2 linked regions of the Stegostoma tigrinum genome follow. The protein of the gene in region 1 purifies or fractionates together with the protein of each later gene. This does not show direct contact. Links are inferred from orthologs where the notes say so. Each region holds a gene or a part of one and is shown in the gene's direction. Other genes may lie near its edges.

Region 1 (7,371 bases):
TGTGAGTATAAATTTTTTTGGTATATATGCAGAACATTTACATTGCAATTTACTTCATGGATCACAACATTAATGTATCAGTTGACTTCTGATATTATTGATTTAACTAAAATTACACAGGTATTTTTGTCACCAATCAAACACTTGTTTGTAGTTCAGTGTCACATTTCAAATGTCCTGATTTCCCTCATCACACGGTTTCTCACTAACCATCTGTCACATTCTTCAGTTTCTCATCATTGTTAATTTCATTGATTGATTTCATATATTTGTGCTTTTTGCCATCAGCAGTATAGCTATCCTATATGTACAGGAATCTCAGCGATGCAGTTAGTTAGAGAATCGTTATTGGTGAAAAGCTGAAGGATGAGAGCCATTGAATCTCTCAGAAGTTGCAGAATAAAATCCATGTTTCTGAAGAAATTGCACTGCACATATACAACTTCAAAAAACGAATGGTGGAAATTTGATCAGTGAATCACTGTAGGTGAAAAACAGCAAAGTGCGCATGGACTATACAGGATGACTAGAAGTATGAGGCATCGAACGGGCAAGATGAAGAAAAGGATGATAAAGAGTAGCCTGGGATTGCTCATGAAAGACTGGCAGCCTGACAAATTTGAAAATAAAGCTCTCAAGCATGAACCTGATAGAAACAGAAAGCTGGTTTAGTTAGACAAGATGCCTTGATAAAAGAGTTAATAAAGAAAGAGCACAGACATAGTTTCGGAATAAAAAGAAATATTCAGAAAATGTAATTGATACGTCAATGGGAAAGAAGGGAACTGTATGACTATATTGTATTTCATGACAGCTTAAAGCACTTCATAACCTTGAACTAGTTTTGAAGTGTGGTCACTGTTATTACATTAGGAAATGCATCAACCAATTTATTCACAGAAAGGCGCAGAAAAGAAAATAAATGACTTTTTAATCTGTTTGGTGAATAATATTTGAAGGATAAATGTTGGCTACAATAAACGGTTGGAAATGTTTGCCTGGAAATTCCTGGGGGCTCATTCACTCCTGTAACTGTGGTAGAGTGGAATTTATGTCAAATAAATTGGAGAATTTCTGACAGTTTCTATGTTCAGCTACTAAGGGCAAGACCTCTGTGCTTAAAAGAGCTTCATGGATCTAAAAGGCTAAGCCAATTCTTAGAAAAAGGACTAAGCAACTTGAGCCAAGGAACTGGAGAATGAAATTGGTGACTTCATTGTTAGATTTCCAGGAAATAAGCATCACACCTCACAGTAAACGACATGAGAAAGCGATAAAAGTGGCTGAGAGTGATCAGTTCATATACCTGGAGGACTCTCTTAAAATGGTGGAAGAAGTTTAATAACTTCATAGATCAAAGGCAAGAGTATTTAAAGATGAATGGTAAGATAGCTAATAAATTGCAGGAATGCAAAATAGCATTCTATAATCACAGCAGTCAAGGATTTCTTTTTTAAAGTAGCCAAAATAACATCAGACTCCTTGCCACGTGTATAACGTCACTTGACAACATTTTGTGTCTCACATGCTGTTATTAATGTGAGCAATATCCAGCTAAATACTTCCCATTATTTCCATCATTAATTCTGATTGTGAGTGTAGGATCTGGAGATTGCAGCAGCCAATTGACATTATTTATTCATTCTGCAGAAGGTAGCACACAATGTACCAACATCTGGCATATGGCACCAAATAAAGAGAAAGTAATGGTCATAATTGGCTTCTACTTTCAGCTGGCAATTGAGGATGTAAATATTCCTTTGGTGAGTTGGAAAGAATCTGCCCTTTTAAAACATTTGTATGGTTTATTCATTATTATTTTTCAGCTACTGCTTCGGTTGTAAGAAATCCACATAGTAACTGAAAAGAAAAATGGTTATGCCATCACCAAATTTAATTATGCTGTTCTTTCCTCTTAGAGGTTGCTAGACACAAAATCCTCTCCATTGTAAAACAACTCAGAGTCATATAGCTGAGTTGGAAAATATCAGGACTTGAAATGTGACATGACACAAAGCACAAGGAATCTAAAGGTTTCAGGGTGTGCTAAAAGGAACAATCTGACTTAACAAAAAATACAACATGTAACTTCTGATCAGACAGTATGGACAGAATGATGCCACTAAAGCATTAGGCATCTTTGAAGTTTCTGAGTGACCTCTATCAGGATGTGTGACAATCGACAGTACTTGTTTAACAGTGGAGTTCTGTGTGCCAATGCAATGTTGCCAACAGTACAGGTTCCATTCCCATACCAGCTGAAGTTACTATGAAGGTTCCAGTTTCTCAACCCTTCTCTAAACCCTCACCCATGCCTGAGGTGTGGTGAAACCACCAATGGTTGTCTTTCTCTTTGAGACAGCAGCCCTATGGGACGATGGTGACTTTGTCAGTTAAAAATCAGGATTGAATTTTTTGTAAATAGTTGCATGAAAAGACTGATTTTTTAAAGATATATATTCACTCATGGGACATTGACATCACTGGCTGAGCAAGCATTTGTTGCCAGTACTAGTTGCCTTTGTGCTCCCTTCCTGAGCTGCTGCAGTCCATGGGCCAGGTAGTCCATTTTCATTCATTTTCTCTTTCTAGCAGTTGATACAAGGGAATGACCTGTTAGGCCATTTCAGAGGCCAGTTAAGAGTCAACGACATTGCTGTGGGTCTGGAGTCACATGTAGACCAGAGCAGGTATGATGGCAGTTTCCTTCCCTAAAAGATGGTGATGAACCAAATGAATTTTTCAAACCAAATGAACAATTGACAATGGTTATCAGTAGACGCTTAGTTCCAGATTTTTATTGAATTCAAATTCCACCATCTGCCATGGCACAATTTGAACCTAGTCCCTAAAACACTACCTCGCTGTATAATAGTCCAGTAATTCTCATCCATTATGTTCCCTCAGCTTGGTAGCAGGTTCTCTTGTCTGACAATGTACTGGTAACGTTCTGATTTATAGTTCAGGATTAGGATGCTGGAGATTTATCAAATTCTATAAATCGAGATGCCCTGGGAAAGAGATAACACGCTATGAAGCTGGATGAACACAGCAGGCCAAGCAGCATCAGTGGAGCAGGAAAGCCAACCTTCTAGACCCTTCTTCAAAAATGGGGGAGGGGAAGGGGATTCTGAACTAAATAGAGAGGGGGAGGCGGATTGAAGATGGATAAAGGAGAAGATAGGTGGAGAGGAGGTAGACAGGTCAAAGAAGTGGGAATGGAGCTCGTAACGATGAGTGTACGTGGGGAGCTAGGGTGGGGATAGGTCGGTCCAGGGAGGACGGATAGGTCAAGGAGGCGGGATGAGGTTAGTGGGTAGGAGACGGGGACGGGGCTTGAGTTGGGAGGCGGGGACAGTTGGGAGGAATGGTTAGGGAGGTGGGGACTGGCTGGGCTGTGGTCGCGGGAGCGGAGATTTTGAAGCTTGTGAAGTCCACATTGATCCCCTTGGGCTGCACGGTCCCTGGGAAAGGCAATGTTAGGGTTATGTCTTTGAAGACGACACAGCTAATTGACCAATTTCACAAAAATGCCCTGTGCCTCCTCCGAATGAGGCAGTGAGGTAAATGTCATAGTCTGTTTTCCTGCCACGATGCTCTGGACTTTAACGGCAAATCTGGCTGCATTAGCAAAGTGAACATCCCTGACGGCTAATAACTGAAGCACAACCTGACAGCAAGCTCTGGGAACAGGCCGACAAAAGGGAAGACGGATCTATAACATGAGGGTGACCGTGATGCTGCCTGATCAGTCTCATTCCGCTTCTCACTCTATAAACGACAGCAATCAGATGCATTGTATTAGTCATTGGAAAATTCGCTATCTTTTTTTTCTTATTTTCAGTGTCAACTCCCCCTTTCAGAGTTTGAAGTCGCCAAACCGTAAAAGAAATGTCATTTCAACACGGAAATGGTTACAGTTGCCCAAGTACTGTATACAGACAATGTATAGGTGAAATTAAAGAGTTTTACTGATATTGAAGGGACCTGCTCCCCGGCAGAACTGTTTTAGGAGGATGAGTAGGTCCTTCGATTTCACCCAAAGTAGATGAGGCAGCACACTGTATATTCCTGCACTGCAATTTTAATCCCCTCCAGTTTGGGGGCCTTTGGCTACATCTTCAAACGGACAGCACTAAACTCAGGGAGGTGTCAATTGCATAAATTTAAATAAAATCTCTTTTAGCGAAATTGAAAAGCGGGCTGAAGAGGGAACTTCATTAGAAGTCAATAAATAAAACATTCCCCTTTAAATGAATGGTTTATGTTATTGACTGTCGTCACTGGAGGGTGGGTGTTCAGTGAAGGTGTGGCTCTCTGTTAGAAACATTCGAGTCTCTCATCATATGAAAACCAGTTCTTCAGTCCCTCAGCACGCTAACACCGAGCCTGCCCCAGGACCTAGAGCCTTCATTCATTTCACTTCCGTTGCAAAAAGGTAACATGATGCGTAGAATTAGAAATCATAGCCGCAAAATTGTGTTTATCTTTGTTTAAAAAAACGCAATTGTAATTCGGAACGACTTCTAATTTACAACGACTTGTAATTTGGATATGATGCAGTGAAGGTAGGGTAAATCTATTGGAAATAGATCCATGGGTTTGAGAATTGTGAAGAAAATGATACGCGGAGACGTTTGCTCGGCTCGGGAGTATTTCATTCATCGTGTTGCAGCCCCTGCTCACATTGCATTGCCAAAAGCAATTGATGTTGTAGACGGAGGCAGAACAGAGGCCGGCGAAATCGGTTCTTTGATTTTATTTGGCCCCCGCCAAGGATGGTAACTTGGCGGAGTTGATTCGGTGCAGCCTGCCGGAGAGAGAATGGGATGAGTCTGTTTGGGTTTGTATGCAAATTTCAGCAAGCGGGCTGTGTCTGCTCAGCCCACTGCGTCTGTGTGCCGCAAATACAATAACATATACATAGACATTCAGACACCAGCAGACACGAATGCAAACACACACACACACACACACACATGGAAATGCTTCGAACGTAAACATAAACACAAGCCCAGCGACTGGACAGGAGTTTATTTCTCGATCTACGATATAACGCAGTCTGATGCTGCAGTCTGCGCTACGTTTGGTCTGCTGCAGTCTGTATTCGTCAAGTTTCATTGCAAGGTCATTTAATAGTGTAACCTGCGACCCCATCCCAAGCCCCTCCTTTTAGTTTGCTTGACCCACGCCTCTCAGGTTTTATGGATAAGATCCGAAATGGTTTCACATTGGCTTCGTCTCATTTCATATTTGATACAGAGGGAATGTTACTGACAATGACATGACTCCCCATAACTGCCTTATTTCTGTGTGGCAGACGCGAGGTTGAGAGGATGGAACCCAGCCCTTGTTGAGGATGATGGTCTCAGACGGGATGTTGCAAGTGTTGATATAGAAGAGGTTGTGATGGGGAGACGCAGCTTGCTGTCGGGGGGCGGCTGAAGGACACGATGTTACTGATCCAGCTGCACCTTTGTCTTTCAGCATCCCGTGACTGTGGGGAAACGCGAGCGTCAATCTTGTTACCGGCTTATTAAAGAAAATGATTCACCCCAGGTTATGTCAGAGTGATGCAACAGGAATTATCGAGTAGCTCAGTCTAATACCTGCCAGCGTGTGCGTTTCGCATTTCATTTTAATTCTGCACACTGACAGAATGCCCACAAAATGTTTTACCAGTCAGCTGGTATAATGCGGAGGTGGGTTGGCTCCTTTGAGTCAGATTGCTGTGGCGGGGGCTATTGATTTCCTGGGGCCAGCTTGATGGACATTGAGGAGTAATTTGTTTGATTCCTCTCCAAAGAGGTAGCTGAGGTAAAAATATAAATCATCTGAAATTGTGGAGTCGTCTTTCTGGATATTTTGATTACTGATCTTTTTTACTTAAATAAGAGACAAGTTGGGAATATTATGTTGCAACAAAAAGAAAGTTGCTGGAAAAGCTCAGCAGGTCTAGCAGCATTGGAGGAGAAAACAGAGTTAACATTTCGGGTCCAGTGACCCTTCCTCAGTTTATGTATTAAGTTGCAATGTTCTGCCTTAAAGCCATAAAGCGCCATCTCGAACGGCCAATCCCACATTTGCATGGCCCCGCTGACTTCTCAGATGTTAATACGAAACATTTTGGCGTTGGCTGCGATTGATTTGGCATTTATGCAAGTTTTCAGATGAGATCTCAATGTAGCATTGTGTGACGATTGCAATGCACAAACATTAAGAAGCCTGCCAATCATTAATTCACCCAACTTCTTTCTAATACAGATTTACAAATACCTCTGTATTTTAGGAATTTGAGTCCTAGTGATAATTATGGTTAAGTGATTGTGCTACATACAGGTCGATTAACCCTCCCTGTAACATGTACATTCTGATGATATCTAACACCCCTTAATTCATCAAATATTGATACAACTGATAGACTTTTTCGACACAAACTCTATCCACAAATAAAATCAGTTGTTGAAGTCTAATATTGCTGGAAATTTCCTTGATGGGGAATGCTCCAGAAACTATAACTAAGTAATCCTGATACCCCAGTGGAAATTCACTTCATATATTTTTATTTTATTGTGATGACTGATGGGCTGGGGTAGCATTTCTCTGTGTTTTAAACTACACACCAATCCTTCATAAATGATGTTATTGTATGAAGTACTGGTGGACCATGTTTTCTGCTGAATGCTGCTGTGCAGAAATGGTGGATCAAAAAGAATTTGTGAAGTGCTGTCCATTTCTTATGATCCACTTGGAGTTTCTTCATAGACATGCAACTTTCTCCTTTTCAGATATACATGTATATTTGACCATAAGACGGTGGAGTAGAATTAAACCATTCAGCCCATTGAGTCTGTTCCACCATTCAATGAGATCATGGCTGATCTGAAAATCCCCAACTCCATATCCATTTCCCTATAACCCTTGATTCCTTTATTGATTAAAAATCTACCTCAGCCTTGAATATGCAAAATGACTCAGCCTCAACAGCCCTCTGTGGTAAAGATTCCATACACCAAATGAACTACGAACAAGATAATTGTGGTGAGCAGTGACAATGGGAACTGCAGATGCTGGAGAATTCCAAGATAATAAAATGTGAGGCTGGATGAACACAGCAGGCCAAGCAGCATCTCAGGAGCACAAAAGCTGACGTTTCGGGCCTAGACCTTTCATCAGAGAGGGGGATGGGGGTGAGGGTTCTGGAATAAATAGGGAGAGAGGGGGAGGCGGACCGAAGAAGGAGAGAAAAGAAGATAGGTGGAGAGGTAGGGAGGGGATAGGTCAGTCCAGGGAAGACGGACAGGTCAAGGAGATGGGATGAGGTTAGTAGGTAGGAGATGGAGGTGCGGCTTCGGGTGGGAGGAAAGGATG
Region 2 (7,736 bases), on another chromosome or scaffold:
ATTCCACCATCCCCAGAAAGGTTAATATTTTTCAACTAGTCAGGTAATTCTCCAACTTGAAATCATTTTGTTCTGTAGGAATTTGTTGGACGAGTTCCACCACAACATGTCCATGTACTAAGTCAATGTTTAATACAACTCTATGTAGTGGGACTGGTTTGTAGCCTCCACATATACCTTCACTCAACTTTTTTTCCATCATTAGCCAGACTGGAGGATCGGTTATATCATCACCAAGCATTAACAATGGACTTGCTCTGTGTATGTTAGTATCATGATTAGTTTACCTCTTCGAATAGAAGCATGAGGAAATACATCACCATTTAAAATAAAATGTTAAGAACGTTCCAATAGTCTGATTTTCTTTATCACTAATTGAGGAACTTTTTTTGACATTTCTGAGACATCTCCCTTGCCCTGTCAGAGAGAACACTCTCCATCTCTACCTGCTACAAATATAAGACTGATTCAATTTATTGATACATCCCCTTTCTGAGGATTCCCTTGGTGTTGCTACTACTGCAATAAGTCTCCCATTAACTTCCAGTAATTAGATTTATTATGTAGCATCTTATTACACTGGAAACAAATTATTTTCTTTCTATCATTTGTGGTTCTGGCCTTTCTCTTTTTTTTTCCATTTTGTGTATTTGTGTGTGTCCACTAAAACATTTCCATCCCAGATTTTCCATTCCTCCAATTTCTTCATTGACTCCCCTTTGACCATTTTACCACTACAGCTGCTTCTCTGAGGTATTATAGGTGTCCACAAGAACTGAAACTTCTAGCATCTTTAATACTTGTTGCTCATCTTGATAAGCGTTAAGGGTTTTCAAATAATACTTCAGAATTCTTCTATATCAAAATTTCCCTTAGAATGTCATTTTCCTCTCTGAGTTCAGTGATTGAAACCAATGATTCCCAGAGTGTTTATTTTTCTCTCGTACATTCTAGAAATGCCTGATTAGGTTAGTCCTAAGTATTAATTATTTGGCTTCATGGAGAAGCTCATAATAATAGAGTATTACTCTTTTAACAATTTAGTAGTTACGGATTGTTCTTCAGATAAAGAAGACATTCATATTTGCACCAATCAGGACACTTTGAGTAAAGTCCAAACATCTATTGGTGAGTTCAACTTCAACTATCTTTTCAAATGGTATGTAATGTCTTCAAACTCCATGTCCTGTAAATTTAGGCAGTATTGCAAATTTCAAGGTAAAGCAAAGCCCTCATTAGAGTCAGAATTAACTCCTATACTAATACCTCTTCCTTTTTCCTTTACACTAAACTCTGTCTGACTTCCCTTTGAGTTCAAGCTTTTTCAATTCCATTACTCCATCAATCGTTTTCTCCACTCTTTCCATTTCTCTTTGTTTATCTTTCTCCTCACTTTCGAATTCAAGCTTTCTTGTTTCTAGTTGTATTTTTTTTCTTTCCTTCTTCCCACTTTCCATGATCTACACATTCCATTTTTCTATTCTCCTCTTTTTCTCCTAATTCAAGGTTCATTTCTATCTAAATCTTGATAAATTTAATTCCAGGTTTCCCTCCTTTTAGTTCGAAGTGCTAATTATTTGTTCAATCATTGCATCCTTAAATGATCCTGCTTTTAATTCTACCTTCAACTTGTCTGCTTACTCTCTCAGTTTAGCCTCGATGAAAGATTTTTAAATTGACAATGCTACACTCCCAGAAATGTCTTTGCAACAGTCAACTCAAATTTCAATCTATGTAATGTACCTCAGAACAACTTTCGATTCTATACTCAGTCTCTTTTTTGAAAGCAGGACGTAAATGTTCTGCAAAGCAGTCAACCAGTCTACACTTTCTTACCGCAATGTAGGGAGACCACACTGTGAGCGGCGAATGCAGTACACTAGATTCTGGGAAGTGCAGGTGAAGTGTTGCTTCACCTTAAAGGTATGTTTGGGTCCTTGGATAGTGGTGTGGGAGGAGGTAAATGTGCAGGTGTTACACCTTTGCTGTTTGCAGGGAAAGATACTGTGGGGCTGTTGGGGGGGTGCTTGTGGTGGGGGGGGGTGTGGTAGTGTTGGGTGTTTAGGAAGAGTGGACTAGGGCATCCCAGAGCGAACAGTCCCTGCAGAAGATGGTCAAAGGAGGGGAGGGGAATATGTGCCTGGTGGTGGCATCTTGCTGGAGGTGGCAGGAATGGGCCTGATGATCTTCTGGGTGTGGATGCTGGTGGGATGGTAGGTAAGGACAAGGGAACTCTATCACTGTTGCGGGAGAGGCGAGATGGGGTGAGGGCAGAAGTGCGGGAGCTGGGTTGGACGGGGTTGAGGGCCTTGTCAACAATGGTGCTGGAAAATCCTCAGTTGAGGAAGAAGGTCGACATTTTGGAGGCTCCCTTGTTGAAGTTGGTCTCATGTGAACATATGCAACAGGGACAGAGGAACTGAGAGAATGGGATGGAGTCTTTACAGGAAGCAGGTTAGGAGGATGTATCGTCCAGGTAGCTGTGGGAGTCACTGGGCTTTATTGCTATAACTCATTTCTTCCTACCTTGACTCAGTCTTCTCTCCCTGGTCCAATCCCAGCCCATGTACATCTGTAATTCCTCTGACACTTTACACAAGTTTCAAAACTTCCAGTTTGCAGGTTTCAGCAGCCTCCGCTTTATCATGGATGTGCCATTCCTTTACACATCCATTCCCCACCAGGAGGGTCCTAGGGCTCTCTGTGTCTGTTCCACTTGAACACCGTCCTGTTCCTTGGCCAACATCTCTGTCTCTGACTTGCTGCAGTGTTCCGATGGAGCTCAATGCCAGCTGGAAGAACAACACGTCACTTTCCATTTGAGGACCCTGCAGCCCCCCGGATGCAAAATTGAGTTCAATAATTGTAGGGCCTAACTCTCCCATGTCGTAGCCCCTTACCCTGCACACCAGACCTTGTTCTCAAAGAGCCTCCATTACACACCACCTCTTGTTAGTCACTAACAATCCCCATTAACAGTTATTCACCCTCATAGCCAGATCGTTATCAACTCTTTTGTCTATTCCACTGCTCTTCTCTCTCTTCAGGCTTAAACCTTTATCCTATCGTTTACTCCCCACTCCATCACCCTCCCTACTTTCTACATACAAATCGACGTTTTCCCAGCTCCCATCAGTTCTGGGGAAGAATCACCGGACCCAAAACATTAACTCTAATTTTTAATTCACAGATGCTGTCAGATCTGCTGAGCTTTTCCAGAAACTTCTGTTTTTGTTCATGATTTACAGCATCTGCAGTTCTTTCAGTTTTTATTTGGTGCTGCTTTCACCTGAGAGTCACATGGTTCCGGCAGGTTGAGAAAGAGAGTCCTTACATTGAAGGCCTTTAATCCACAATATTGGCATCACAAACCAGCCATCCAGCCCACACAGCTAACTGACAAGCGTATGATGTACTTTTGAGACATTTAGTCCTGTTTACAATTTTGACTTCCTTATTTAAGAAAGAAGGATATACTTGTTTTAAAGCAAAATATTGCAGATGCTGGAAATTTAAACCAAAAATTCAAAATACCAGAGAAACTGAGCAGGTCTGACAGCTTTTGTAGACAGAGAAAAAGGGTTAACGTTTTGGGTTCAACATGACTCCAGCTTCTGAAGAAGTCAGTACAGACTCAAAACATCAATTCTGCTTCTCTTCACAGATGGTGCTGGACCTGCTGAGTTTCTCCAGCACTGTCTGTTCATAGTTACACAATTGCTCTTCTGTGGAACCCAAAGATATAGTTACATTGGAAGCAGTTCAGTGAAGGTTTATTTGACTGATTCTTCTTAGGAGGAAAAGTTGAACACATTGGGCATATATTCATTGACGTTAAGAAGACAGAAAGGTGTTATAGTTGAAACATATAACACTTTGACAGGTTGCACACCGTGAGGATGTTTATTTCTTTTGCGGGAGGCTAGAACTATAGGGCACAGTTTAAAAGCAAGGGGTCTCCCATTTAAAGCAGAGATGAGGGATTTCTTCTTTCAGAGAGTTACTGTTCATGGAATTCAGACTGCAGTGGATACTAGCTCACACCTGCTAGATAGAGTTTTGGTTGACACAGGAATCAAGTGTTACATGTCAGAAAAGAATGTGTCGTTATGGCGACAGTTGGATCAGATGATCTTCTTGAACAATTAATTCCTACTTGTTAGGTTGTTTTGGCTCACAACCTATTTAAGTCAATGATAACACAGTGTGGAGCTGGATGAACACAGCAGGCCAGGCAGCATCAGATGAGCAGGAAGGTTGACGTTTCTGGCCAGGACCTCTGAAGAAGGTCACTGAAGAACTTTCCTACACCTCTGATGCTGCCTGGCCTGCTGTGTTCCTCCGGCTAAACACTGTTATCTCTAACTGCAGCATCGGCAGTCTTATTATCTCTACCTAAGTCAAAGTTCTGGTAAGACCAATCCTACTTTTTTTCCCAGTTTTTAGCACACATTCCAATGCCTTTAAAATATTTACAATCTTATTGGGATATTCGCAATTAACCTGCTCAGTGATGTTGTAAATACCCTTGAAACAGGTAGGACTTGCCCTTGGGTCAATTGCAGGAGTACCGCACCACGTGGTTTCATGGGGGCGTGGTTACAGCTTTAAGCGTTGCTGTGGCAACGGTAGGCGGGACCGTACCGCCGACAACCCTTGTCTGATTGGCGCTTTGTTCCCCAGATTCGCTTCCCTATTGGTTCGCTGTAACCACCAATGAAATTACACGTGCGGCCTTCCGCTCTGGGCTGACTGTGAAGGTTGAGCGAAGCGATGCCGGTCGCCGATAATGGCCGGGTGGTTGTGAGAGTGAGTGAATGCTCGGAGAGACAAACAGTCACCTCAGCCTGGTAATGGTGGTTGGATCTGTTGTGTTTCTTTGCACCTTTGCTATTTTATTTTGGAGTGTTTGTGATGGACGGTGCCATGGACCATAAAGCGCATGCGCAGATGCAAGTGCTGGGATCCATCCTCTTCCCCTCCCCCCTGTCCCCTCCTCCTATACTTTCCCCTACCCCCACCCCCCTTCCCCTTCTTCCTCCTCCTCCTCCTCTCCCCCCTCCCCTCCTTACCACCCTCAACCCCTGCTCCCCCTCCCCATCTCATCTCTCATCTCTCCACCTCTTTCTCCCTATCCCTCCTTCCCCCAACCCGATTCCTCCACTTCTCACAACCACCGCCCCCCGCCAACCTGTTTCCACTGTTCTACTATGCATTTAGGCAGGCATGGTTCTAGTTGTGATGGATTCCTTGCTTTCAGAACTTTTTTTTTAAACATAGCCTAATTGAAAAGTCTTACTACTCCAGTTTCTAAAGAAATTAAGACTGAAATTAGTTTAGGAACTTCTAGGAGACTGAAACTAGTTGCAACCATATAAAAGGATATTGAGCCACCACAGGTCAGATAATCCTTTCGGTACAGTTCAGACAGGCTGAAGAAGGCAAAAGTGAGATGCAGAAATTGTGGATAGGCAGGTATGTACATGTACAGTTTTTGTGAAGCTGGTTGTGCAATTTTGATAGCTAGCGATCTGGCTACATCCCAGAAAATGATGAGCTGAAATTCTTTGTGGGAATTTGTGACTGAGGTTTTCATATGTGCTGAGTGGACAGTCAAGCTAAACTGCAAGGCAATCCTTTATACCTGGTGTTTAAGATGTAGTTCCTCATTTATAACTGATCACAATTTGTTTATTCATGTTTGATTTGTGTTAATTCTAGATTTTAGAGGATAGGCATTACCTGAGATGGTATTGCTTTGTTTGCCTCTCAAAGTCAAAAACGTTACTTTGTTTTAAACAGTGGACTTCTGTGGCCTTGTTCTTTTCATTAAATAACTGATATTTGAAATTCCTTCTTCTCTAACTCCTTTGTTTAGAAAATCCTGACTAAGGTTTTAATAAGGATTTACTTTTCTTCACTGGGGGTTTCATTTGTCTGATTTAGTTCACACATCTTGAGCCTCAAGCTTGTTTGTTCAAGCCCTAGTTTAGAGATGAAGGCATGTAATCTGGGCTGATGCACTCATGCAGTACTGACTGAGGGCATAACCGCCAAAAATGGTGTTTCTGATATGATGTGAAACCAAGGCCCTATCTGCACTGAAATGGAGCAGAAGATCCCACAAGTTTCCAAGAAGACCTTGAGTTTTCCTCTATCAATACCACAAAAACAAACATTCGTCTCTTTACCTCCCTGTACCATATTCATCTGATTATGTGATTTTGATACCTGGTTCTTTCACGTACATTAGCCATTTCTACCCAGTAACAAAAAGAGAGTATCTTACTGGAATTACTGATTCCATAAAGCTTAGGCAAGTTTAGTAAGTAAAGATTTGATTGATCTAGGGGGTAATGTTCTGGGATAGAAATCTCATCTCTGGATGTGATGACCAGGGAGATGTGTCTCGTCAACCTGTTTGGATGTGTTAATGAACAGAAAAGGCTTTATTTGTGAAATTATTAGGAGTGGCCAGCAGGGGGCTGAAATTAAAGCAATAAAATGTCTCGGAAAACATTTTGTTTCAAAGCAACACGTACAGCCCAGCAGAGATTTACCATAAGAAAAACTGATCAATTAATGATTTTTTTTGGTCAGGCGTCATCAGGAAAGTTACAATGGAGGGGACAAAACAGTCAAGGGTCTCTCGTCCTCATAAGATCAGTGAATCGTCAAAGGTTAGTGTAATATCATTCATGAAAATGAGCATCTGATATTGTTAGTGTGTAATGAGAGAATTCTTGAATTGTATAATATTATACTTGTTGAAATGTTTCCTCATCTATATGGCTCCAGCAAGAAACATTTTATAGTTTGCTTACTCAACAAAGCTTATTGAGATTTCCTCGGGGACCATGGGTTTAATTTTGATTTGAATTGTTATTGTCACATGTACTTGGGTACAGTGTAAAGTTTTGTTTTGCCTACAGTACAGATAGATCATACCATACAGAGATCATAGGCTGATTGTATGTCTCGCCCTGTTCAAAGTTACAGCTGCAAAGAAGGTGCACAAAAAGCAAGATCAACATTAGATTTGAAATTTGAGAGGTCCATTCAGAAGTCTCGTAACAGTGGGGAAGAAGCTGTACTTGAATCTATTGGTACATATGCTTTAAGCTTTTGCATATTTTGCCTGACAGAAGAGGTTGGAGGAGATTATAACCGGGGTGGGAGAGGTTGGCTGCCTGCCCAAGGCAGCGAGAAGTGTAGATGCAGTCAATGAATGGAAGGTTGGCTTGAGTGATGGCCTGGACAGTGTTCGCAATTCTTTGTGGTTTCCAATGGTCCTGGGCAGAGCAGTTGCCATACCAAGCCATGATGAATGCTGATAGTGCTTTCTTTGGTGCATCCGTAGAAATTGGTGACTGTCCTTATGGACATGCTGAATTTTGATATCCTGAGGAAGAAGAGGTGTTGTAACTTTTTGACTGTTACATCAAAGTCGGTGGCCCAGGACAGGATTGTTGATCGCCACTGTTGGGAATTTGATACTCTCGCCCATCACCACTTCGGCTCCATCGATGTAGATGAGGGCGTGCCATCCTCCTTGCTTCCTGCAGTCGATGATTGGCTCTTTCGTTTTGGTGATGTTTAGGGAGAGATTGTTACCTCTACACCACACAACAACACCAAGCTCTCCCTCTGATTCCTGTATTGCCTCCTCAGTGTTTGATATCTGGTCTACAATTGTGGTGTCGTCAGTGAACGTGTAGCTGGAGTTCAGATGAAAT

The links.
Region 2: the proteins of slc6a15 (region 1) and klhl36 purify together in Homo sapiens (co-immunoprecipitation; 3 studies listed by BioGRID and IntAct, counting the BioPlex papers as one, with this or other methods). This does not show direct contact. The link is inferred for Stegostoma tigrinum from reciprocal best matches to the Homo sapiens genes SLC6A15 and KLHL36.

Annotation. Positions count from the first base shown.
Region 1 is NC_081371.1:41,943,496-41,950,866, reverse strand, and holds the start of slc6a15 (sodium-dependent neutral amino acid transporter B(0)AT2), read left to right. Parts: upstream 1-4,298; 5' UTR 4,299-4,438; intron 4,439-7,371.
Region 2 is NC_081369.1:49,020,757-49,028,492, forward strand, and holds the start of klhl36 (kelch-like protein 36), read left to right. Parts: upstream 1-4,733; 5' UTR 4,734-4,817; coding exon of another isoform or gene 4,818-4,850; intron 4,851-5,070; exon of another isoform or gene 5,071-5,475; intron 5,476-6,600; 5' UTR 6,601-6,620; coding exon 6,621-6,680; intron 6,681-7,736.